Linked DNA regions of Rattus norvegicus. The protein of the gene in region 3 interacts with the protein of the main gene of each other region in a biochemical or structural test. Links are inferred from orthologs where the notes say so. Each region holds a gene or a part of one and is shown on either strand. Other genes may lie near its edges.

What was found.
Region 1: of the proteins of Setd7 (region 3) and Rela, one has a biochemical effect on the other in vitro, tested with the Homo sapiens proteins (3 studies listed by BioGRID and IntAct, with this or other methods). The link is inferred for Rattus norvegicus from reciprocal best matches to the Homo sapiens genes SETD7 and RELA.
Region 2: of the proteins of Setd7 (region 3) and Dnmt1, one has a biochemical effect on the other in vitro, tested with the Homo sapiens proteins (2 studies listed by BioGRID and IntAct, with this or other methods). The link is inferred for Rattus norvegicus from reciprocal best matches to the Homo sapiens genes SETD7 and DNMT1.
Region 4: of the proteins of Setd7 (region 3) and E2f1, one has a biochemical effect on the other in vitro, tested with the Homo sapiens proteins (3 studies listed by BioGRID). The link is inferred for Rattus norvegicus from reciprocal best matches to the Homo sapiens genes SETD7 and E2F1.

Annotation. Positions count from the first base shown.
Region 1 is NC_086019.1:212,352,085-212,357,760, forward strand, and holds the start of Rela (transcription factor p65), read left to right. Parts: upstream 1-2,251; 5' UTR 2,252-2,312; coding exon 2,313-2,319; intron 2,320-2,905; coding exon 2,906-2,932; intron 2,933-3,023; coding exon 3,024-3,175; intron 3,176-3,330; coding exon 3,331-3,479; intron 3,480-4,351; coding exon 4,352-4,443; intron 4,444-4,769; coding exon 4,770-4,901; intron 4,902-5,607; coding exon 5,608-5,676. UniProt on the Homo sapiens protein: NF-kappa-B is a pleiotropic transcription factor present in almost all cell types and is the endpoint of a series of signal transduction events that are initiated by a vast array of stimuli related to many biological processes such as inflammation, immunity, differentiation, cell growth, tumorigenesis and apoptosis.
Region 2 is NC_086026.1:27,759,223-27,764,926, forward strand, and holds the start of Dnmt1 (DNA (cytosine-5)-methyltransferase 1), read right to left. Parts: upstream 3,540-5,704; coding exon 3,460-3,539; intron 1-3,459. UniProt on the Homo sapiens protein: Methylates CpG residues. Preferentially methylates hemimethylated DNA. Associates with DNA replication sites in S phase maintaining the methylation pattern in the newly synthesized strand, that is essential for epigenetic inheritance.
Region 3 is NC_086020.1:137,752,506-137,758,108, forward strand, and holds the start of Setd7 (histone-lysine N-methyltransferase SETD7), read right to left. Parts: upstream 3,815-5,603; 5' UTR 3,719-3,814; coding exon 3,679-3,718; intron 1-3,678. UniProt on the Homo sapiens protein: Histone methyltransferase that specifically monomethylates 'Lys-4' of histone H3. H3 'Lys-4' methylation represents a specific tag for epigenetic transcriptional activation.
Region 4 is NC_086021.1:163,532,056-163,537,815, reverse strand, and holds the start of E2f1 (transcription factor E2F1), read left to right. Parts: upstream 1-2,252; 5' UTR 2,253-2,405; coding exon 2,406-2,660; intron 2,661-5,760. UniProt on the Homo sapiens protein: Transcription activator that binds DNA cooperatively with DP proteins through the E2 recognition site, 5'-TTTC[CG]CGC-3' found in the promoter region of a number of genes whose products are involved in cell cycle regulation or in DNA replication.

The DNA.
Region 1 (5,676 bases), on a different chromosome or scaffold from region 3:
TCAAGTCTGATGATCTCAGTTTGATCCCAGTACCCACTTAGTGAAAGGAAAGAAATGTATCTGGTAAGTTGCCCTCTGACCTCCACATGACAGTTGCAGTCTCCCACACAGATGCACACCAATGTGTATGTGGGTAGATTTTTCTTTAAAGGACAGAAATTTAAAGGATGGGAGGAGCCTGAACTCAAGGGATAACACGGCATGGACAGTGAGGAGGACATTTGTGGGGATGAGTGACATTAGTGTCCTATGCGTCCCCTCCATCTTCTTGACCTTTTTTTCTGGAGTACTGGGGCTAGAAACCAGAGTCTTCAGCATGCTAGGCAAATGAGGTAACTCTGAGCTATACTCCTACCCATCTTCCCCTTTGAGATAAAACTTCACTGTGTAGTCTCTGCTGGTCCAGAGCTCTCCATGTAAACAAAGCTCTACTGTTTTGTTTTGTTTTTTTAATTTGTTTTGAGACAGTGTCTATACAGTCCTGGCTGTCTAGCAACTCACTATGTATAGACTATGCTGACCTCGAACTAGGAGAGCACTTGACTCTGCCTCCAGAGTGCTGGGGTTAAAGGTCTGCACTACCAAGCCCAACTCATATTTAGCTTTAATTATGTATGAGCACATGTGAATGCAGATGCTCTCAAGAGCCCAGAACAGGGGATGAGGTCTTCTGAAGCTGCAGTTACAGTCACTGGTAACTGGCCTCTCTCTACAAGAGCAGTATTGACTCTTAGCTGATGGGCCATCTCTCCAGCCTGTAGCCATCTTTTTTTTTTTTTTTTTTTTTTAAGAGCATCTTCTGTTGCTCTGGATGGGTTCAAATTATGTAGAGGAAGATGACCTTGAACTTCTGACCCCATGAGTACTGGGATGACTGGAACATCCTAGACCTAGGAATCAAACCCAGAGCTTCCTTCAATGTTAAGAACTTTCCTGAGTTGCCATCTCTAGCCCTTATTTTTCAGTAAGTACACTCATGTTCATATTAATTAAATTGCAACTATATGTCAGTTTTTAAAAGTGGTTCGTGCGAGGATCAATGATGGCTGTGTGCCATTAATCGGAGACCATAATTCATTCTGTCACCTTGATGTCCGCCCCCGCAAAACATTAAACTGCTTTTTCTAATCTGCGCCAAGTGAGAAACTGAAATGAGTGGGAGGGGCGGTAACTATTTTCACTTTTGTCTTCCTGTTTTTTTCAGAGCCTGGGAAAGAAGTCAGAATTTCCAATCTTTTCCAATTCCCACATGATTTCCTAATTTAGAGAAAATAAGTCTTTCTCCATGTGCTAAAGCCTCCTCTGCCCCCCACCCCGCCTCCTCCTTCTGGCATTGTGGAGGGAGCCTGATGTGTTGATTCCTCCAGCCAGTGTCCCCAGACTCAATCTGCACACCCGCCCTTGGCTTAGATGGCAATTTTCTCTCCCTACAAAAGCTTTCATCACTGGAGCTCAGGCTCCTGGGAGGCCTTCAAGGAGATGCTCAAGTGGTGTGACCCTGGCTAGCTCCGGAGATCCCTAGGGATCTGAACCTTAGCAGACAGGACCTATCTGTGGAGGCGAAGCCCTGGAGCTCTTCCAGCATTCATTGCTCTCAGGGACTCTTAGAGGTACAGGTGTCTACCTCGGTCCCCTCTACACCAAGGCCTCAGTCAAGCCTTGATGAAGCATGCTTTGGGAAGCACTCCTGCGCGCAGCCGGATCTAGGTTGGGAGCATATGGCCTGTAACGCGCGGCGGTCCCCAGAAGGCCCTGCACGAGTAGGAAAACGTGTGGAATTCAGTCACTGTGCTCCGCGGAAGCAGCAGGCCTGAGCCTCTCCTTGTGCAGGGCGAATGGCCGCAGCCTGCCAGCAGCCCGGGCTCTGCTCCAGACCAGGCCAGGGTGACATCACCAAACTCTTGAGATCAGAGCGGGGCGGGGAACGGGACCCGAAATCCCCTAAAAACAGAGTGAGTAATCGCGGGCCCGCCCTCCAGGCGGGGCCCGGACACGGAGCGAACCGCGCTGCGTAGTCCGGGAGCGGCTTGCAGTCGGGCGGGCCTCAGGACGAATAGCCTCGGCGTCCTACCGCCGCGCTCCGGTGTCCCCGCCCGCGCGCCGCACACCTTCCGCGCCCAGCGTGAGTTGCGCACCTGCTCTCGGCCCCCACGCGCGTCGGTGGCGGCGGCGCAGCGCGCAGGCGCGGCCGGATTCCGGGCAGTGACGCGACGACGGGCGCGCGCCGCGCATTTCCGCCTCTGGCGAATGGCTTCGCTTTAGCGCGCCGTGGGCTCAGCTGCGACCCCGGCCCCGCCCCCGGGACCCTGGCCATGGACGGTGAGGCTGCCCTCTGGCCCGCGGGACGGCTGCCCTAGAGTTCCGGGACCTGCGGCGGGATCCCCCTCGCGCCGTCTTCCGCCCCTTTCTGCGCCGCGGGTTGCTGCGCAGGGAGCGGCAGGCCGGATGGTGGCACGGGGCGGGGCGGGCTGCGAGGGGTCTGACTCAGTTGCCCCTCTCAGTGGAGGGCGCCTTGACTCAATGTCCCTCCTGGGTGGGAGTACGGGTGAATCTTGACTCAGTTTCCTCCGGCTTCCCCCCCCCACCCACTGTGTCGATGCGATTAGTTCTGGCTTCCTTTCCGTGTAAGGGAGAAAGTATCTGACTCAGTATCCCCCGAAAAGGAGAGGGGGTAGAACCCTTCCTCAGTGTCACTTATGAACGTAAAACAGGCTCTGACTCAGTTTCCCCGGGCAAAGGAATACCTCTGTGCCCCTTTTCTCTAGTAGAGAGATGCTTTTGCCTTCTTTACCTGGCCTCTTTCAGGGCAGGTCTTAGGATCTTGGCTCAGTTTCCTTTGGAGGCATTCCCTGGTGAGGGTGGGTACTGGAGTTTATTGACAGTGTGCCTTGTCTTTCCCTTTCAGATCTGTTTCCCCTCATCTTTCCCTCAGGTAAGTGGACCATCCTTCCTCAGTAGGTAGGGGCTGTCCTGGAGTAGGGGCCATGGGGGCAGCACCTAATGGCTGACCGTATCACCCACAGAGCCAGCCCAGGCTTCTGGGCCATATGTGGAGATCATTGAGCAGCCCAAGCAGCGGGGCATGCGTTTCCGTTACAAGTGCGAGGGCCGCTCTGCAGGCAGTATTCCTGGGGAGAGAAGCACAGATACCACTAAGACGCACCCCACCATCAAGGTAAGCAAGAGCCCCCAGGGGTGTCGGGGTGGGGACACAGATGTGGTGGAAGGCACTGTGGAGCCCCAGCAGACTTGCCTCCTTGCCACCGCGCCCCGTGTCTAGGAGCCAGATTTGGGATTGCTGGCCTCTAAAGTACTCTGTACTTTGGACAGATCAATGGCTACACGGGACCAGGAACAGTTCGAATCTCCCTGGTCACCAAAGACCCACCTCACCGGCCTCATCCACATGAACTTGTGGGGAAGGACTGCCGGGATGGCTTCTATGAGGCTGAACTCTGCCCAGACCGATGCATCCACAGGTGAGTCTGAATAGATAGGCTGGGGGTAGTGTGAGGTCAGGGTAGGTAGGGGGCAGGGTAAGAGCAGGCTGGGCCAGGCAGCTGTTACAAAGTTACACTTTTCTAAACACTGGCAGAATCCAGAGTCCTTGCTCTGTCCCCAGGTCTGCAAACAGACCCCCTTTGTCTTAAATTCGCTAACAGATGGGAACTCTTTATCTTGGAGCGACAGATCCTTTATGACTGGATAGCCCAGTCCCTTAGGCTCTTGTATCAGAAAGTCCGTAATGGACTCTCCTAGAGCTTAAATACCAGTTGGTAAAACCAGGGGACAGTTGTACAAACAGATAGAAAAGATACTAGTGGAGAATTATAATTTCCATGATGAAAAGAAAACACAGTAATAAATTAGAAGGAGGAGGAGGCTGGTCTCGTGGCATAGGGACAGAGTCTCATATAGCTGAAGCTGGCCTTGCACTCATGAGGGTTCACCTACCTCCTCTTCTCAACTCCAAGGGTAATAGGCGCGTAGCACCATGTCCTGTTACGTAGGTCTCATGACTTTGGGTTGGAAGATTGCAGAAGGCCTCTGTGCTAACACTCAAATGGTGAGAAAAAGCAGACAAGCCCAAAAGAACATTGCATGCACAAGAAAGAAGTATGGTGACCTGGAAAAGGGACTAAGTTTAGTGTGCTCAGGGACGGGACAGGAAGGCCCTGTGGCTGAGGCTAGGACACTGACTTGGGGGCTGGTGTGGGCCAGGTCCCTCAGAGACTCGCCAGTGGGTAAGGAGTGGGTTCATTGTAGCACAGTGGGAAGCCTTGAGCTGTGAGCTGAGGAGTGGGAAGAGGGTGTTCTTTTGGAGACACAGAACTAATGCCTGAGGCCTCAGCTTCCAGAACCTGGGGATCCAGTGTGTGAAGAAGCGAGACCTGGAGCAAGCCATTAGCCAGCGCATCCAGACCAACAATAACCCCTTTCAAGGTAGGAGCAAGGGGCAGGACATAGCCTGCCTGTGGTGCACATTCTGCCACCTTCCCTGGGCCTCTGGCGCTCCTCACCCTCCATGACCAACCCAACAGTACAAGTGGAACCTCGCTGCCAGCATGGTACACACTCACATGCTACCGTTGAGAGTCAGGCCTAGAAAGGGGTGGTGTATTCAGGTCCCAGTAGAGCCGTGATGGGTCTAGGATTTTGTCTTCCTCCCCTTAGACTTCTGTTTTATATATCCTCAAATCACCTTCCTCTTCCCTCAGAGCTCCCTGCCCTCCCCATGCCTTCCACCACTTTTTTTTTTTTTTTGACAGTTCCCATAGAGGAGCAGCGCGGGGACTATGACTTGAATGCGGTCCGCCTCTGCTTCCAGGTGACAGTGCGGGACCCATCAGGCAGGCCCCTCCGCCTGACCCCTGTCCTCTCGCATCCGATTTTTGATAACCGTAAGTGGCCAGCTGCAGTAAGGGGAGAGGGTGGGCTTGGGAAGAGAATGGGGCTGGGGTGGGTGTGGCCTTGCTGCAGGGGGCAGGGCAGAGAAGACCCAGAGCTGCCTCTGTGGGAAGCTTGCAGGATGCCCTGGAGTTGGATGGGAAGTGACTGTTTTCCATATCTTGTGTTGAGATGCTGGTGTGCCAAGAACTGTGCTCATGACTTTAGGAAACCAGATAAGGCTAGACAGCAGTAAATGAACATTAGTAGCTCACAGGAAGCTCTGATGACCTGGGCTGACACTGATGGATTGCAGTCTTTAGCAAGCAGCAGAGCAAATGAAAATAGAAGGGCTTTAAAATCCTAAGGACTGGAAACCAGTATGAACTGGAAGTGAGGAGCAGAGGGCTCATTGCCAAGGCAGGGATGAACCAAAAGCTGAAACTCTGAAGCTCAGGTGGAAGGAGACAGATGTGGCCAGTGTCTCCTCTGGACTGGAAGGTCTGTGAGGGACGGAAATGCAGCCTTCCGTGTCCCTCTTACCTAGAGCCGAGCTACAAGCACTGCAGGGAGACTGTGGTGAACTGGCTGACCTGAAGAGCAGACAGCAGAAGGTCTGCAGAAGTGTAGTCACAGGCTGTGGGCGACCTTGACACACGGCTGGGCTGGGCGTGACTGTTACGGCTCCTTCGGGGTACCCTGAGACCTCTGATGTTTCAGGTGCCCCCAACACTGCCGAGCTCAAGATCTGCCGAGTAAACCGGAACTCTGGGAGCTGCCTTGGTGGGG
Region 2 (5,704 bases), on a different chromosome or scaffold from region 3:
AGTCTCCTACTCAGAGGCTCAGGTAGGAGGAACGGTTGTTAGCTCCAGGCCAGCCTAGTTTACATATCAAATGCTAGAGTAGCAGGGGGCTGAGGAGTGAAAACCGGTCTCAAACAAAAAAGCAATTAAGGTTGAAAGTGAAAATCCAGCTCCAGGGATCCAATGCCCTCTTCTGGCCTCCTAGGGCATCAGGCACAGATGTGGGCACAGAGGCACTCACCAGCACCTATACCTGCCTCTCCCTCTCCCTCAGCATAAGGGGGAAGGCAAGAAACCAATTCCAAAAAGTTCAAATGGAATTAAAAAGGCAGCAGCAGCTTTCTAAACTGGCCATGGTGGCAGCTTAGTATCCAAGAGGCAAAGGCAGGTGGATATCAGAGTTCGAGGGCAGCCTGGTCCCCAGAGTTCCAGGCTAGCTGAGGCTACATAGTAAGACCCTGTCTCAAAATGAAATAAAACTTATAGGGTCAGATGAAATGGCTCCATTTCTTGTTACCACGACTGATGGTCTGAGCTCCATCTCCAGTACTGCCCAAGAACTGACTCGGGAAAAGTATTCTGACCGCCATAATACACTGCTAAATATGCACATGCAGACGCAGACAGATAAATGTAGTTAACTATGGCTTGGGGAGACGGGCACGTGTCCCACATCCTTGACCACCTACCTCAGTATGACCCCAAATCCACATGGTGAAAGTGTAACAAACACCATGAAAACGTCTAACTGCCACACGTACGCTGTGGTACACATGCACATAAAGTTAAAAAGTCTCCCCTTAACACATACCAGAGTGCATACATGTGTGTATACATATATGTGTATATATGTGTATATACGTATATATGTATCACACACCATTTATATGTAAGTTTAACAAAAATGAGTCAGCCAGGCACGTAACACGCATCACTTGAGAGGAACAATAGCAAGACCGAGACCAGACAAACTACATAGAGACCAGACCATGCCTTGAAAATAAGTTTCAATTGTAAAAAATGGAAAGAAGTTAGACACCCGTGTCAAAGGAACCTCCCTAGGGAAGAGGATGCCACCTGTTCAGGAAAAGAAATCCCTCACCTGCAAGGTGTGAATGTCTGAAATGAGGCCTTAGTTGAATTCTAACTCACGACCTTCCTGCCTCCCAAAGGCTGGGGTTATAGGCCATGGCCGCCACATCTCACTAAAAAGCATGATTTGAATTCCTCAAAGATGCAGGGTTTACTGTATTTCAAAGAAACGGTCAGTCTGGGGCTGGCAAGAGAATTCAGCCGATGAGGGGAAGCTACCAAGCCTGATGACATGAGTTCCATAACCAGGACCTTGTGGAAAGGTCAGTTCCTGCAAGGGGTCCTGACCTCCACTCAAGCTGTAGCACATACCCTCCCCTCATACACACTAAGACTTAAAATCCACATGTTGAAAAATCCTGTATTTTATACAGCTAGCAGAACTATGCACATTTCTATTTAAACTGCCATTTAAATACAAAACAGGGTGGACGGAAGCTGCAACAAGGCCTAAGTCAGCTTCTGGACTATCCCACCAAATGTCAGTACCTCTCTATCTCACACTGTAGATACTTTGCAACTAAGTTTTTCTAAATCAAAAGTTAACCCGGGTCATATTCCTGTAATCCCAGCACTTGAGTAGATACAAGAGATCAAGGCTAGCCTGGGTTATACAGTCAGCCTAAGGCTAGCCTTCTTGGGCTACAGGAATCCTTTCCTGGAAATGAAAACAACACACACACACACACACACACACACACACACACACACACACCCCAAAGAACAGGAAAAAAACAAGACAGAAAGGCAGGTTACAGCACTGTCTAACTTTAAAGAACGAAATACTTTAATAGGTATGTATTTTTTGGTAGTAAATTGTAAAGGTAAAAAAATCTGTTGAGGTGTGTCAAAGGCTGTGAATGTTTGTGTCTATATAATCAAAAAGCCAGCATTCAATAACCAAACCATCATGGTGGTACATGTCAGTAACCCCCAGCACTGAGGAGTCACAGGCAGGGAGATGGGGAATTCTAGGCCAGTCTGAGAAAACTCACCAAGAATCCATCTCCAAGAAAAGAAAAAGTGAAAGGGCTGGAGATGTATAGCTCAGTGGTAGAAACCGTTCACAGAGTTTCAGGTCCAATCCCGGGGGCAAACTGGGGGTGGGGAGTGTTTGACAAGGGGGAATTCAGGCTCTCCTCCCACTTCATCCCCCTAAACCTCAAAAGGCAACCGGCCTGGCAACACCCCACCAAACTAACCCATGGAAATACCAAAAGTAAACTCATTATCGGGTTGGAATATGTGCAGCAAAAGTCAGGGAACCTATGACTAAGTAGCGCACAGTGACACGTGGGACAAGCTTTCAGGATTGAACGGATGGACGATGCCCTTCTGGAACAGGAAGCAGGATCCGGTGTTCCCGCCAATCCCTGAACACAGACCTCCCCGTGGAGGTATGGAAGGTACTAGTGGTAGGATCCCTCATTTCCAGTGACACAACATTGAAAGTTGAAGAGCTTCCTTGACTGCTCGGGCGGGAGTGTGGGGGAATTCATATGTTCTGAAATGGGAGTTTTATCTGCCATCTCACTCCTCGGAATAAACACTAGACAATGTAAAAAGCTTCCTCGATGGCGGCAGAATCGAAGGAACTGGTTCACAGGGGTTAAAATAACGGGGCGGGGGCGGAGACATCTTACTATCATCCATTTTTCCCTCCCTCTGATACACATTTTGGACAGTGTTAAAAGGTTTCCTCGATTGCTCTGGGATCTCGGGACAGTTTATGTTACTGCCAAAGTGGAGGGCCCACTCTGCACCACCTCTCTCCAGGCATAGTCTCTGATAGCTCCAGGATCGCAGGAGCTCCTTTGGGATAAAAACAAAACAAAAACCCACGAGGGCTGTAAGCTGCTCAGGCCCAGCACCGCACCATGAGAGAAAAAGCTCCTAGGACTTGACAGCGGGACTCGAACGGAGAAATGCAGAGCCCTTCTGCACGAGGGCCTTCGGGGTCCCAGCGGAGGAACCCTCGGGTGGGCGCGGCGGGATCTGCAGGGCACCGGAAGTGAAGGCTGGAGAGGGGTGGGGGCTTCAGGGTGTCCACAGGCCCTGAGAGGGGCACTTCCTGCAACCCAGGAGCCGGGCTGGCCGAAGAGGGGAAACCCTGAAGGTGTCCCCAAGCTTGTTCTATTCCAGAAGGCTAGAAGGGACCATCCCCTTCCTCCCTCAAGTTCCCAGTCAATGGGCTTGCCAGCAACCAGGCCCCCACCCATTTTGGCGCCAACAGCCAGAGGCGCGCGCGACCGGAAGCACAGCCCGCGCCAAACGCTGCCCCGCGCATGCGCGCCCTGGCTGTCAGCGGCCGCAGGGCCACCCCGAGATACCCCAATAAATGCCTCCGCATCGGTCCCGCCCCTCGCCCCCACTTTGTGTGGTACCTACCGCCTGCGGACATGGTCGGGGAGCGAGCCTGCCGGGGAGGCAAGTGCAGGCACTCGGGCTGGAGCTGTTCGTGCTGGCATCTTGCAGGTTGCAGACGACAGGACAGCTCTGAACGAGACCCCGGCTTTTTCGCGCGCGCGGAAACCAATTGGGAGGGGGCGGCGCAAGCGGAAGCAGCATGTACCACACAGGGCAAGAGAGTGGGGGAAGACAATGCTATGCCCGAACGGAGTGCGCATGCGCAGGACGGAGGCACCCACACCTCCTGGCTGGAGTGGGCTCGTCCGCACTGTGACTGGAGCCACTCACCTCCCCCTTGCCTGAAGAGGTGGATCAGCCCTTGAGAGCAGGTAGTACTCCCCTTTCACAGGGCACCCACATCCAGGCACTCCAAGCCCTTGTAGTTCCACTTCCAGGGGATCCTACGCCCTCTTCTGGTCTCTATGGGCACCGCACTCACATGCACAAACACAATTTTTTTTAAAAAAAGTGATCTTTTGAGTCGGGCAGAGGTGGTGGAGTCTGTGGCGCCATGTTTTTAATCCCAGCACTCTGGGGGCAGAAGTGGGAGGATCTGTGTGTTCAGCCTGGTCTAAAAACAGTCTTTTTAAAAAAGAAAAAAAGGGTTGGGGATTTAGCTCAGTGGTAGAGCGCTTACCTAGGAAGCGCAAGGCCCTGGGTTCGGTCCCCAGCTCCAAAAAAAAGAACCAAAAAAAAAAAAAAAAAAAAAAAAACCCAGGCAGCAGTGGCGCATGCCTTTAATCCCTTGCACTGAGGCAGAGGCAGACAGATCACTATTTGAGGCTAGCCAAGTCTATACAGTGAATTCTAGGACAGCCAGGGCTATACAGAGAAACCCTGTCTCAAAACAAAAGGGTGGGCTTCAAGGGTGGGCTTGTCTGTGAAAGAGACCCAAAGAGTGAGCAGCACCAACGAGAAAGAAAATACCAGAGAGAAACGGAGACGAACAGGTTCCAGGGCCCAAAATGTAGATCTCTACGGCAGTGCCACCTCGTGTATAATGGGTAATTGGATTGCAGGTTGGACAAGATGCTCCTCAGCCTATCACAGGCCACAGGGACACCTCTGGGGAAAGCAGGAAAGATAGAAGGACAGGAACAGGGCAGTCAGCCATCTCAGAGGGAAACCATCAACCAGCCAGAACCTAGCCCTGCCACCGGTGAGTCGCATTGGAAAGAAGCAAAGAGCACAGATGACAGACAGGCAGATTCCCTGTTGAGTTGCCTCAAGTCAAGGAACAGGGTCCTGGGAATGAGGCTCCATGCATGCTAGAGAATGGTAATACTAAGCTTTGCCCCCCAGTCCCTCACCAGCCATATTCTAAGCCAGACTTCAGGGACATCTGCTTTATTAGCAACTGCTGCCGAGATGAGAGAGAAGTGTGGAATCCAGGCTGGCAGGACAGCCCCATCGGTAAACGTGCTGCCAAGCCTATCCTGATGTCCTGGAACTCCATGGCAGAGGGAGAGGACGGTCTCCATCCAAGCTGTTCTGACTTCCACACATGCACCATAGCATGTGTTATGAGCCCTCCCACAACAGATTTAAATACATATAATAAAGGGGAATCAGACAAGCACTTGTTCCGTCTGCAGAGCGAGCGCTATCTGGATGAACACATCCTCCACCAAGCACGGCTCCACTGACCACTTCTCTCGAGCCTGTGTGCCCCAGGACTTCCATTGTTTCTACAGAACATTCTCTGGGAAGATTTGTACAGCCCCAAACACTTCCACCAAAACTCCCCCGGACCACATGGAAACCACCTGTTACTCCTACCAGATGCCATTCTTGGTAGTCATGGCCAGAGACTCTTTCTTACCATCTATCTCACTGGAGTGGAGGTCAAACTTTCATAGAGAAGGGGATATTGAAGGTTTTGTGAACCACATAGTAAAGAGCTGTCCCAATAAAACTTTATTAGTGCAAACGCATGGTGGGCCAATTACAGCTATCTGCCGAATCAGCACAAAGACCACCAGAAGTGCCCGATACTTAGATAAGGCACTGCTGTGGTCAGTGATAAAAGTGCTTTTCCAAAATAAAGATATTTTTGTTTCACCATAGTGTCACTACATTTTACAAAGAAAGATGGGGGGCCCAAACTGGATCAAGATGCAAAAGTAGGGGGTTGGGGATTTAGCTCAGTGGTAGAGCACTTGCCTAGCAAGCACAAGGCCCTGGGTTCTGTCCCCAGCTCCGGAAAAAAAAAAGAAAAAAAAAA
Region 3 (5,603 bases):
CTAGACTGTCTCCCTTCGTTGACAGGTGTCCTGTCCTTAACTTGTCCAAGTTTCTCTGTAAAAGGAGGATAATACAGTACCCACCTCCTACTGAGGTGGATAATGTCTGAGGGGCACTCAGCATGGAATCCGAGAGTAAAGAGAGCTACAGCGATGCTGATGATAACACGTGTGCTGAGGAAACCATCACAAGACAACGTGCGCAGAGAGGCACCAGTGCACACAGACCACTTCCGGTTTAGGAAAAGACCGCAGCCGTCCAACCTGCTCAGAGACGTGCAGAGAGCAGTGCGAAGTGCCAAGGCCAACAGTGCCCAGGGAAAGGGCCAGGGATGTAGTTTACCGCAAGCACACACTTGCTCTGGCACACTGCAAAACTGAGGCTAAGATGCTTCTCGAGCCTTTTTTCTTTTTTCTTTTTTTGATTTGTTTTATTTTTATGTGTATGAATCAATAGAACTGGAGTTACTGGGGGTTCTGAGTTACCACATGGTGGCACAGAATCCAGGTCCTCTTCAAGAGCAGGCACTGAGCCATCTCTCTACTGCTTTTAATTTTTTTTGAGACAAAATCCACCTATTATAGGTCTAAGCTCTGTTAGAACTCCCAGTCTCCCCTGCCTCCTATGTATCTGGGATTACATCTAGGCTTCACTATACCTGGCTTTCCTCAGGATGTTACAATATTGTTACTCTTCTGCAGGAGTATGTAGCCGAATGGTGTATCGTTTGCCCGACATACACAGGGAAAGAAAGAAAGAAGAAAGGAAGGAGGGAAGGAAGAAAATTGTGTTGTTGTTCTTTTAAAAATCCAGGTACAGTTGCTCACATCTGTAATCCCAGCACATCACATCAAAACCAGCCTGGGCCACTGAGATCTTGTTTCAAAAATCCACAAAAACAAAAATTCACTAAAAGCAAAACAAGAAAGTTACCCTACTTATTTACTCTTATTTATAGTAATGCTATATCTGTCCATCCTATATAAAAAGACCCCCATTTACTTACACACACACACACACACACACACACACACACACACACACACACCATTTATGTAAAGAAACCTCGGTGTTTTGAACCCACTGGATTAACATGAAACCTGAAAACATACTTTAAACATTTTTATTTTGAGAAAGGGTCTCATATAGTTCAGGCTGGGTTTGAATTTGCTATACAGCTGAGGATGGCCTTGAACTCCTGATCCTCCTGCCTCCACCTCCACCTGCAGGTGTATGCCACTAGGTCTGGTTTTTGTTCACATGCAAGTGCTAGGGTCATAAACAACAGGGCATGTTTTCTAAACACAGATGGCTTCAGTTGGGGGCACTATCTGTGATCAAAGGTTTGTTTTTAAAAATTGCAAGAGATGGCTCAGTGGTTAAGAGCACTGACTGCTTTTCCAGAGGTCCTGAGTTCAAATCCTAGCAACCACGTGGTAGCTCGAAACCATCTGTAATGAGATCTGATGCCCTCTTCTGGTGTGTCTGAAGACAACTACATATATTAAATAAATCTTTAAAAAACAAACAAACAGAGGCTGGGGATTTAGTTCAGTGGTAGAGCGCTTACCTAGGAAGCGCAAGGCCCTGGGTTCGGTCCCCAGCTCCGAAAAAAGAACCAAAACAAACAAACAAAAAACAAAAAAATTTGCAAGTTAAAGAACAGGAGGAGGGGCTGGAGAGATGGCTCAGTGGTTAAGAGTCCTGGCTGCTGTTCCAGGTCCTGAGTTCAATTCCCAGCAACCACATGGTGGCTCACAACTATCTGTAACACCAGGTCCAGGGAATATGATCCCTCACACAGACATATATGCATTTCACATGAGGTAAAATAAATAAGTAAAAAAATCAACAACAGCAACAACGACCCAAACAAACCTAAACAAATACTATAAAAAAAAAAAAAAACCCAGAAGAATGAGCAAGACAGTGGAGGGCGATTTGTTAAGAACATGTTTTCTGTCATAACAGAAATTTACAAGAAGTCAATAACTTTGAAAGTTAAGGCTTCCTATGGCTCCCTCAAGCTGGCTGGGCCTCACTAATTCCAACACTGGGTTTATTTAGAGACATATAAGCTCTGTGAGTCCACAACATTTTAGTCTCTTCAAAAGTTACAAGCAAAATTATGTAGTTTAAAGTTTTTTTTTTTAAAAAAAAAACTAAAATGAAGATAAATTTTACAACTTAAATTAGAATGAATGCCTTTTCGGGAATTCAAAAAAATGATTCTACTTCATCTCACCCTAAGCTTTCAGCAGTCTGCAAAAGTTATATTTATGGGGGCTGGGGATTTAGCTCAGTGGTAGAGCGCTTGCCTAGCAAGCGCAAGGCCCTGGGTTCGGTCCCCAGCTCCGGAAAAAAAAAGAAAAAAGAAAAAAAAAGTTATATTTATGAACACACCAAAAAGGGGTTCCTCCCAACGTACCATTAACAAATACATATCTATATGCATTTGTTAAGCACCGCCACGTTTTTATTTATCGTTTGTCAGGCCTTTTTTATACAAATACATTAAAACGAGAACTAACCATGGACTTAAAATTATTTACTGAGATGCTGCGTTTAACAAATTCTGGAACAACACTACGCAAAACATCACGGGAACACTATCTGGGATAGAATAAGATAAATAATAAATACGCTTAAGAATGTTTTTCAGTGTCTATTGTTATAAAATCATAACCTCTCATGACACAAACATCGAGATTGTATAACGTCCCTACGGTGCCTTTTATAAGTGGGGGGCAAAAAAAAAAAAAAAAAAAGAGAGAGAGAGAGAGAGAAACTCAGCAAAACACGGTGGCGACAAGAGTCGGGGGAGGGGTGCGCAAGAAGGGGCGGAGAAACCTGACACCCAGGCGGTGATATCACCAGCAGCCAACAGCTCGGAATTCAGAAAGTTAAGTGTCACCCAGCAATTTGGGTCCCGGCTGGAGCGTCCGCACGGCGCGGCTGCACCTCGCTCAGAAGCCAGGGAGGGGGAAGGGGTGGGTGGCTGAGTTCGCCCGGGGGCAGCGCAGACCAGGGCCAGCCGCCTCCGGAACGCAGAGCGTTCGAGCCTGGTGGGGAGCGGCGTGCACTACCTAGCCATGATTTCATCTTTTTTCTTTTCTTTTCTTTTTTTTTTTTTTTTTTCTTTCCGGGAGGAGCGCCCGGGGCTACCATGTGTCTGGCCGGGTGCGATGCGATGGAAGACCCACCTAAACTCCGCCCTAGTGGTCGCCGGACGCAGCGACTCAGCTAGGAAAAGGGCAGACGGTCGGAGAGGGGAAGTCGAAGTGGTTGAAACGCAGCTGCTCCGCGGAGATCGCGGGCCTCAAGGGACTGCCCTCCGGCGCCCTCCCATCCTCCATCCCCGCAAGGACTAAGGCCAAGGTGCTAGGCAGCGTTGCAACTCCCAGGGAGGATGCTGCCGTGGCCCGGCTGGATGCAGGGGCCCAGCCTTCCCAGGGCCGCGGGGCCCCATTCCCTGCCCGTGCCCCACCGCGCCCCGCGCGCTCCCGGCGGCGTGGCGTAGGCAGTGCAGCCCCCGCCTGAGCCGAGCGACCCGCCATCCGCTTAGGGACCGCGGTGGCCTTCGGCTCGGCCCCGCCGAGTCGCAGACCATCACTCTTGGTGCTTTCGGCCCAGGCGCCTGTCCCCACTCCAGGGTCCTGGAGAAAAGCCTGCCGTACCTTCCACGGCTTCCTCCACTACCTCGTCGTCGCTATCCATGGCAGCTGCGACCCTACCCAGCACGGGGCCGTGCGTCCGGCTCCGGTCCCTCCGGGTGCTGGCGGTGGCTGAGCGAACGCAGGAGCTAAGCCCTTCGAGTTTGGAGGGGGAGGAGGGGGAGGAAGAGGAGGAGCAGTCGGGGCCGCTCGCACTGCCTCCCCCTACAGTCCTTTTAATTCCTCCGCCAGCCGCGGAGCCGCAACCGCCGCTCCCCCTCCCCTCGTCTCCGGTGCCCGAGGCTCCGGGGTGCTGCTGCCGCTGCAACTTTCTCCTGCGATACCCCCTCTTTGTTATGGAGCAGCTGATCCGCTGACATCACCCGGCGCCGGTGCGCTCCCTCCCTCGTTGATTGACAGTTCCCTGTCCTTTCCCAGAAGTGAGGCTCCTTAGAGCCGAAGACGCTCCGGTGCTGCGCCGCCTCTTCCAGGCTATGGGCCGGCCCGGCTGCATTTACCTTTTGGCTTGGTTCACTGTTCACCAGCCACGCGGTCCAGGTCGCCGCCGGCTGCTTGCTAGCACCCCGGGCCGCCAGGGTACCCGCCTGGGGTGGGTGAGGGGCTCGGAGCGCCTGATACCCCGCGATGTGCCACCGGGGACTTGGAAGTGAGCGGTGCTGGGTGTTCCTCCCACTATCCCACTCCAGGACAGCTAGAGCTCACTCGGAACCAAGCCTTTCTGCTGCTCCTGAGCTTCGACTTCCTCGCGCCCTGGAGCCCACTTCACTCAGCTCGCCGCCGCCCAGAGTTGCAAAGTGCGACGCGCACAGGAGCGCAGGTGCCCCCTCCCTCTCCACTGCCCAGAGTCCCCTCCACAAGCCGGTTTCCTAGATTCCAGGGGGCGTCCTGCGCCCCGGATTCCGCCCGACTGCATTTTCTACCAGAGTCCCCAGTCTCCACCTTCTTTCTCATTCCCAGGTCCCTAGGGAGATCCAGGAATTTACCAAACCCAAATGGCAGCAGGCCGCACCCGAGGTTTGGCGGGTTCCTTCTCCTTGTCTTGGAGAAGGAGCCACCAAGCGGAGAGCCTGAGCTAGGACCCCGTGTCTAGCGCGCTTCCTCTCGCCTCCGGTCCTACACTTGTGATGTCCCCAGATGTCTCTTTAGTTTCTCCAAGTGCCAACCACTTCACCGACTCAGGCATCTTTGAGGGAAGAAACCCCCTTCCCAGCCCAGCCACTTAACGAGTGTCATTATGGTGCTACCTCTTACAGGTGGCAGCAAAGGACCACTTTAAATAGCGGGTTAAATGGCTACACATGTACAGAATGTACCATGGAATTACCCGGTGTCGGTCTGGCCTTCTGCCAAGAACAGTCATCGTGGCGGGTAGGGCAGGAGGGTAAGTAAGTTATTCCGTTTGGTTTTCTGAACAATGAATAAGGCAGGATTTCAAGGCACTTCCAAGGCCTCGGAGAGTCAGCACCCCCACCCCTAACATCCCCTTCTTTTCTTAAATGTCCTTTGGTGGGGTGAAGTATTGTAGGCAGGGTCTCCTGTAGCCCGGGTCTCTAACCTCTAACTCACTAAGTACAGGAGGATGATTTTGGTTAGGAGAACTAACCATCTCGCCTCCATCGCCACAGCTCGCTCGGCAATTACAAACATTGGCCAGCATGCTGAGTTTACAAGACTGGTTCTTCCGTGCTAGGGAAGCAGGCTCTCTACCAATTGAGCAGCACCACCACTGGCTAATATATATGTCAGAAAAATAGAAAAAAAAAGAGCAAAAGAAACGGCGTGGTGACGTTAATCCCAGCACTAGGGAGGCAGAGGAAGGCAGATCTCTGAGCTCAATGCTAGCCTGTTTGGTCTACAGAGTGAGTTCCAGGTCAGCCCGGGCTATGTAGAGAAATCCTGACTCGAAGGGGGAAAAAAAGCATTTAAGA
Region 4 (5,760 bases), on a different chromosome or scaffold from region 3:
CAAGGATGACCTAGCACTCTCCTGGACTTCCTCTATCTACCTGACCTGCTGGGGTTGCAGGTGTGTGCAACTATACCCAGCTGTAGGAATTGTAAATTTCGGCTCCACTCCACATTTTCATTGTAAAGGTATACCAATTTGTTTTCAAAGATGAACACATTATCTGGGATGGGCATAAGTGTTCCTTGTGTTTCTTTGTTTACATTTTTATTTATTTCTTCTTCTTTTTATTTTATTTATTTTATTTTTTTCGGAACTGGGGACCGAACCCAAGGTCCCCACTGAGCTAAATCCCCAACCCCTTCTTCTTCTTTTTAAAAAATATTTTATTTATTTAATGTATATGAGTACACTGCAGTTGTCTTCAGATACACCAGAATCCGTTACAGATGGTTGTGAGCCACCACGTGGTTGCTGGGATTTGAACTCAGGACCTCTGGAAGAGCAGTCAGTGCGCTTAACCACTGAGCCATCTCTCCAGCCCCTATTTATTTATTCTTGCTGTATCACAGTCCATGTCCTGGGACTTAATCTCTTCCAATCTTGACCAAAAGACTCTAAACCGGAACTGGGGATAGTGATCCAAACATGCAGTCTTAGCACTCAGGAGGCCATGCAGGAAGGTTACATTGATTCAGTTTGAGCTACTACATAGCAAGATTCTATTATCTTAAAAAAAAAAAAAGGTGTGTGTGTGTGAATAAACCAAGCATAATGGCTAACTCGTTCAATCCCAGACTTGGGAGGCAGAAGCAGGCATACTTAAGCGTGTTCCAGGACAGCCAGAGCCAGACAATGAGACCATGCCTCGAAAAAACAAAGAAACAAACTACCCCCCCCAAAAAAAACAAAAAAAAAGGGGGGCGGGGGCGGCCTGGGATTGATTCTAAATTGACCAAGGTTGGGTGGTTCAAAGTTAACCGATGCGTGGAAGATAAAGTAGTATGAGGTGATAGTGAAAGTACCCGGGCTTGAGAGCTCCTTGTAGCCTACACTGGACTTGGGGACTTGAATATTGTCAGCTACTCTTTTCTTTTTTTTTTTTTTTTTGGTTTTTTTTTTTTTTTTTTTTTTTTTCCGGAGCTGGGGACCGAACCCAGGGCCTTGAGCTTCCTAGGTAAGGGCTCTACCACTGAGCTAAATCCCCAGCCCCTGTCAGCTACTCTTCTTGTGGTCATCCCCACCCGCAAGGGCAGGAAGTATGTAGGTCTTGTTAAACCTTTCGTGTTTCGATTCCCAGTATTGGCAAGATGCCTGTCAGAGAGGACCACAATGCTGATCAGATGGGCTGACCTGAGCAATCAGAAATGCTGATGGAGGACCTCAGGATTAAAGGATCCCTCCATATGCACCCTCCCCACCCCTGCACCGCCCTCTGTGAGGCCTAACGTGGAGTTACTTAGTTCAATCTCTTCACATTGTAAGCATCTGCTGCCTCTCGGTTCCCTTTTTTCCTTTTCACTAAGTCAGGAGTCAAGGTCTGGGTTGAGTATGGGACAATAAACAGGCTCTCAGGCGTTTGTGATTTTTTTGAGACAGGGTCTCACTGTGTAGTCCTGAATGGCCTGAACTTGGAAAATCCGCCCGCCTCTGCCTCCCAAGTGCTGGGATTAAAGACAGGTGCCATTGTGGACTGACCAAACGAATGAACGATAACTGGGCGTTGGCTACTAAAGGAATTTCAGTAAAATGAGACTGAGATCAAAGCCACACATCCCTACTCATTTCCTGGCACCCCTCTTGGGCTTGGCTTCTGGGTGACAGGGAAGAACCCATGATGTGAACTAATGGAATAAGTGGGTCTTAAGACCGGAGATGTGGCTGAAGTGAACTTTGGAGGTGAGCCTGAGCGTGCAGAAGAAGCAGTTTCTGGACTGTAAACTGAGGGGGTGGAGACCACAGGTTGAGAGTTTAGGGGCTCATGCGGCATGTGGAGACTGCGGGACGTGCAGAACCAAGTACGAAGTTTGTTGCCTTCGCCAGACCCCGCCACCCATCGAGTGGGCGGTGAAGGGGGCGGGGTCCATTGCCCACGCCCCCTGCAGGGCACAGCGAGAGGCAGAAGGGAGAAGGCGCCCGGCACCGCCCGGACAAAGCCTGCGCGCGCCCCGCCCCGCGATTGGCCACCCCGCCCCTGGTCCCACCCTCCGTCGCCTGCCCCGCACGCTGCAACCAATGTCTGCTACCGAAGCCGACTTCGTCACAGCCACGCAGGCCAATGGAGGAGGCGTTCGGCGGCGCGTGGCTCTTTCGCGGCAAAAAGGATTTGGCGCGTAAAAGTGGCCCGGACTTTGCAGGCAGCGGCGGCCGGGGCGGAGCGGGATCGAGCCCTCGCCGCGGCCTGCCGTCATGGGCCCGCGCCGCCGCCGCCGCCTGCCTCCCGGGCCACGCGGGCCGTGAGTGCCATGGCCGTAGCCCCCGCGGGCGGCCAGCACGCGCCGGCGCTGGAGGCCCTGCTCGGGGCGGGCGCGCTGCGGCTGCTCGACTCCTCGCAGATCGTCATCATCTCCACCGCGCCCGATGTCGGCGCCCCGCAGGTCCCCACCGGCCCCGCCGCGCCGCCCGCTGGCCCTCGAGATCCTGACGTGCTGCTCTTCGCAACGCCGCAGGCGCCCCGACCCGCGCCTAGTGCACCGCGCCCGGCTCTCGGCCGCCCGCCGGTACGGACCCTAGGCGCGGGCGGGGGAGGGGCGGGCTGCAGCGCTGGGCGGTGCGGAGTCTGGGCTGGGCCTCGGGGCTCCGCCCCGGGGCGCGCGCTGACTGACTGCCTTGCCCTGTCTGTTTGCTGCGCCTTGCTCTGGGCCTCAGCGTCTTCACCAGAGCGGCAGGTTTATTAATGATAATGGCTCACGTGTATTCAGCTGGTGCTTGCTTATTGCACGCCCAGGCTTTGGCACACTTGAAGTCGGCCAAAATTCTCAACTCTGTTGTGAGCTGGGTGTTGTCACGTGCCCATCTGCCAGAGGGAGGAACTGAGGCCCAGAGACAGGGAAGTGCTTCACGCAGCTGCAGATGGTGGGGCTGGTATTTGAACTGATGGCGGCTGGCTTGCTGCAGAACCTATGGCTAGTTAGTGCGCACAGTTGCTTGATGGAGATGAAAGAGGGTGACTGTTGGAGACATCCTCGAGAGACCCTCCTTCGTGGCTCTGCCAGGTGCAGGCCTGGCCTTCCAGGCCTCTGGGGATAGGCCTCTTGATTGGGAGGCCTTCTCTGCAGGGGCGGGGTGCTGGGCCAGCTGCTGCAACCCTTCCTCTGCCTGTCCTTCCATCTGCCACCCTTCCAGCCCCTGGTTGCCATGGAACTTTATTAATCAGGCGGACAGACCCCTGAGACTCTGGAAGACTGGGTGGGCTGGGCCCCTGAGAAGGGGCCTCCAGTTCCTGGAGAGAGAAGACGTGGGAGGGAGATCCCTGGATAAAGTCTTTTCCTGATCCTAAGTAGCAAGACCAGTTTAGGCTGGGGGCCTAGAAAAGGCAGCGGAAGTGGAGAGTGGAACTTGGATCTAAGCAGGGGCCAGCTCAGCCAGTGGGCCACCAACTTTATTGTAGGGGTGGAGCAAGCAGGAGGTGTTCACAGCAGGGGGCTTGGAGCAAGCGGGAGGGGCCAGACCCAATACCGGAGTAGAAACTGTTCAACTCCTGGTGGGGGTGCGGGTGGCAGCTGGTCCCAGAGGCATCTTAGAGAAGGCCCATACCCCCTTTGGCCCAGTGCCCAGTGCTGCCTTCCTTCCGGAATCACCAAGATGCTAATAACAATAACAATAGCAACCACCATTGTTTTGAGGACGTTTTGGGTGCCAGGCTCTGTGCTAAGCACTTTACCCACTTAACCCTGTGGACAGCCTTACTTTTTCATCCTTCCATAGATGAGGAGGCTGAAGCCCACAAATGATGGAACTTCTTAATCATTCTTCTAGGGAGTGGTATTTCCTGATTGTTAAAGCCCTTTCCTCCCACTGAGGAGGCCGGCCAGTATTTGGTGGGTCAGCTGGCTTGCCTTCCCTCCACTCCACGGGCCTGTACCAGTAGGTAGAAGGTTGGGCCCTGGGCAGATATTCTACATTTGACTAAACATTGCATTCACTCAAGTTGTGGAGTTCGTGAGTCCCCATTATGTGCTAGGTGCAGAGGTACTTAAGGATCCCCTTCCCCCACGGTACTTAAGGCCCAGCAAACATTTTCTGTGGGAGAGGTTGACACCATCCTGGAGCCAAAGGCCAGGAATGCAAATCTGGATTTTGGCCTCTACTGACTTTGCTCTGGAATTTGGGGTGGGGGGGCAGTCCTTGAAATAAGCTACAGGCTTGGCTTCCACCCAGTGAGCACTTGCTGGGTGCTTCCTGTGTACCTCTCTACACCTCTGCAATTCAGACATTCTTCCTGCCCTACCTACCTTTACCTTGTCTGTGTGTGTGTGTGTGTGTGTGTGTGTGTGTGTGTGTGTGTTTATAGATCCTATCGGGGTGTATTGACTAGGGAGAAGCAGAGACAGGAGAATCCACATGTTCAAGGCCAGCCAGGGTTACCTAGAGTGAAACTGTACCTTAAAGGAAGTTGGTCTGGAGAGATGGTTTAGCCATTGAAAGCACTTGCTATTCTATATGACAACTTAAGTTTGATCACAGCCCAACACTGAGGTCACAGATGACCAACTCCAGTTTCGAGGGGTTTGATATTGTCTTCTCCTGTCCTTGGGTACCCATGTTCATATATAGTCATACGGACACAAAGTTCTTTTTAAAAAGAAAACAATTTAAAAAGCAAATTAGTTAAATAAAAATAAATTAAAACACCAACAGCCTATTTTGGTTAACTGACATCTTATAATCCAAGCAGGCAAGAATGAGGATACTGAGTCTTGAGTTCAAAGCCAGCCTGCACTACAAAGACCCTGTTTCAAAATGGTAACAGCAAGAAGCTGATGTTTCCATTATAATGTAGTACTTGTTTACTGTGGACAGTATGTAGTACCATACATTAAGTCTGTAAAAGACAGGCTTGGGGTTGGGGATTTAGCTCAGTGGTAGAGCGCTTGCCTAGCAAGCACAAGGCCCTGGGTTTGGTCCCCAGCTCCGGAAAAAAAAAAAAAAAAAAAAAAAAAGACAGGCTTAGAGTAGAAAGCTAGCTCTTCTTCAGGGCTCTTGGTTTAGGTGTGACACTGTTACTCTATTATATGAATCTCTTGCTGGTCACTGTGAGCACTTAACTGCTGTTGGGGATTGGACCCAGAATGGAATGCACACCAAATAAGTACTCTGCCAGTCCCCAGTCTTCAGAACTTTTGTTTTTAATAGTTCTAAAAGTTGCTGTGAGCCACGTGTGATGGCACCTTTATAATTCCAGCACTTAAGAAGTAGAGGTATAAGGATCAGGAGTTCAAGGTTTTCCTGTGCCTGATCCATGTTCAAACAGTACGTCATTCACATTGCCCAGAGGAGGTAACAGTCTGCCCTGGCTCTCCCACAGAAGCGCGCCTGTTTCTGAAACACACTCTGTCAGAAACTGAACTGGAGCAGCTCCTGAGCTTTTAGTCCAGGAAGGGACCATATATGTATTAGCCTGTCAGAGTGGTTTCCTTGTGTGTCTGTGAGAGCATTCTGTGCTGGCCTGGACCTGTCTGGGTCTGTTACTGAGACCACATGCTGTTCCAGGGGCTACATACAGCCTTTGTGGATGGGTGTTTGAAGCACTCAGTTATCAATATCTTCACCTGTGGTTTTTAGGATCTCAGTGTTGTCTAAAGATGAGTGACAGAAACA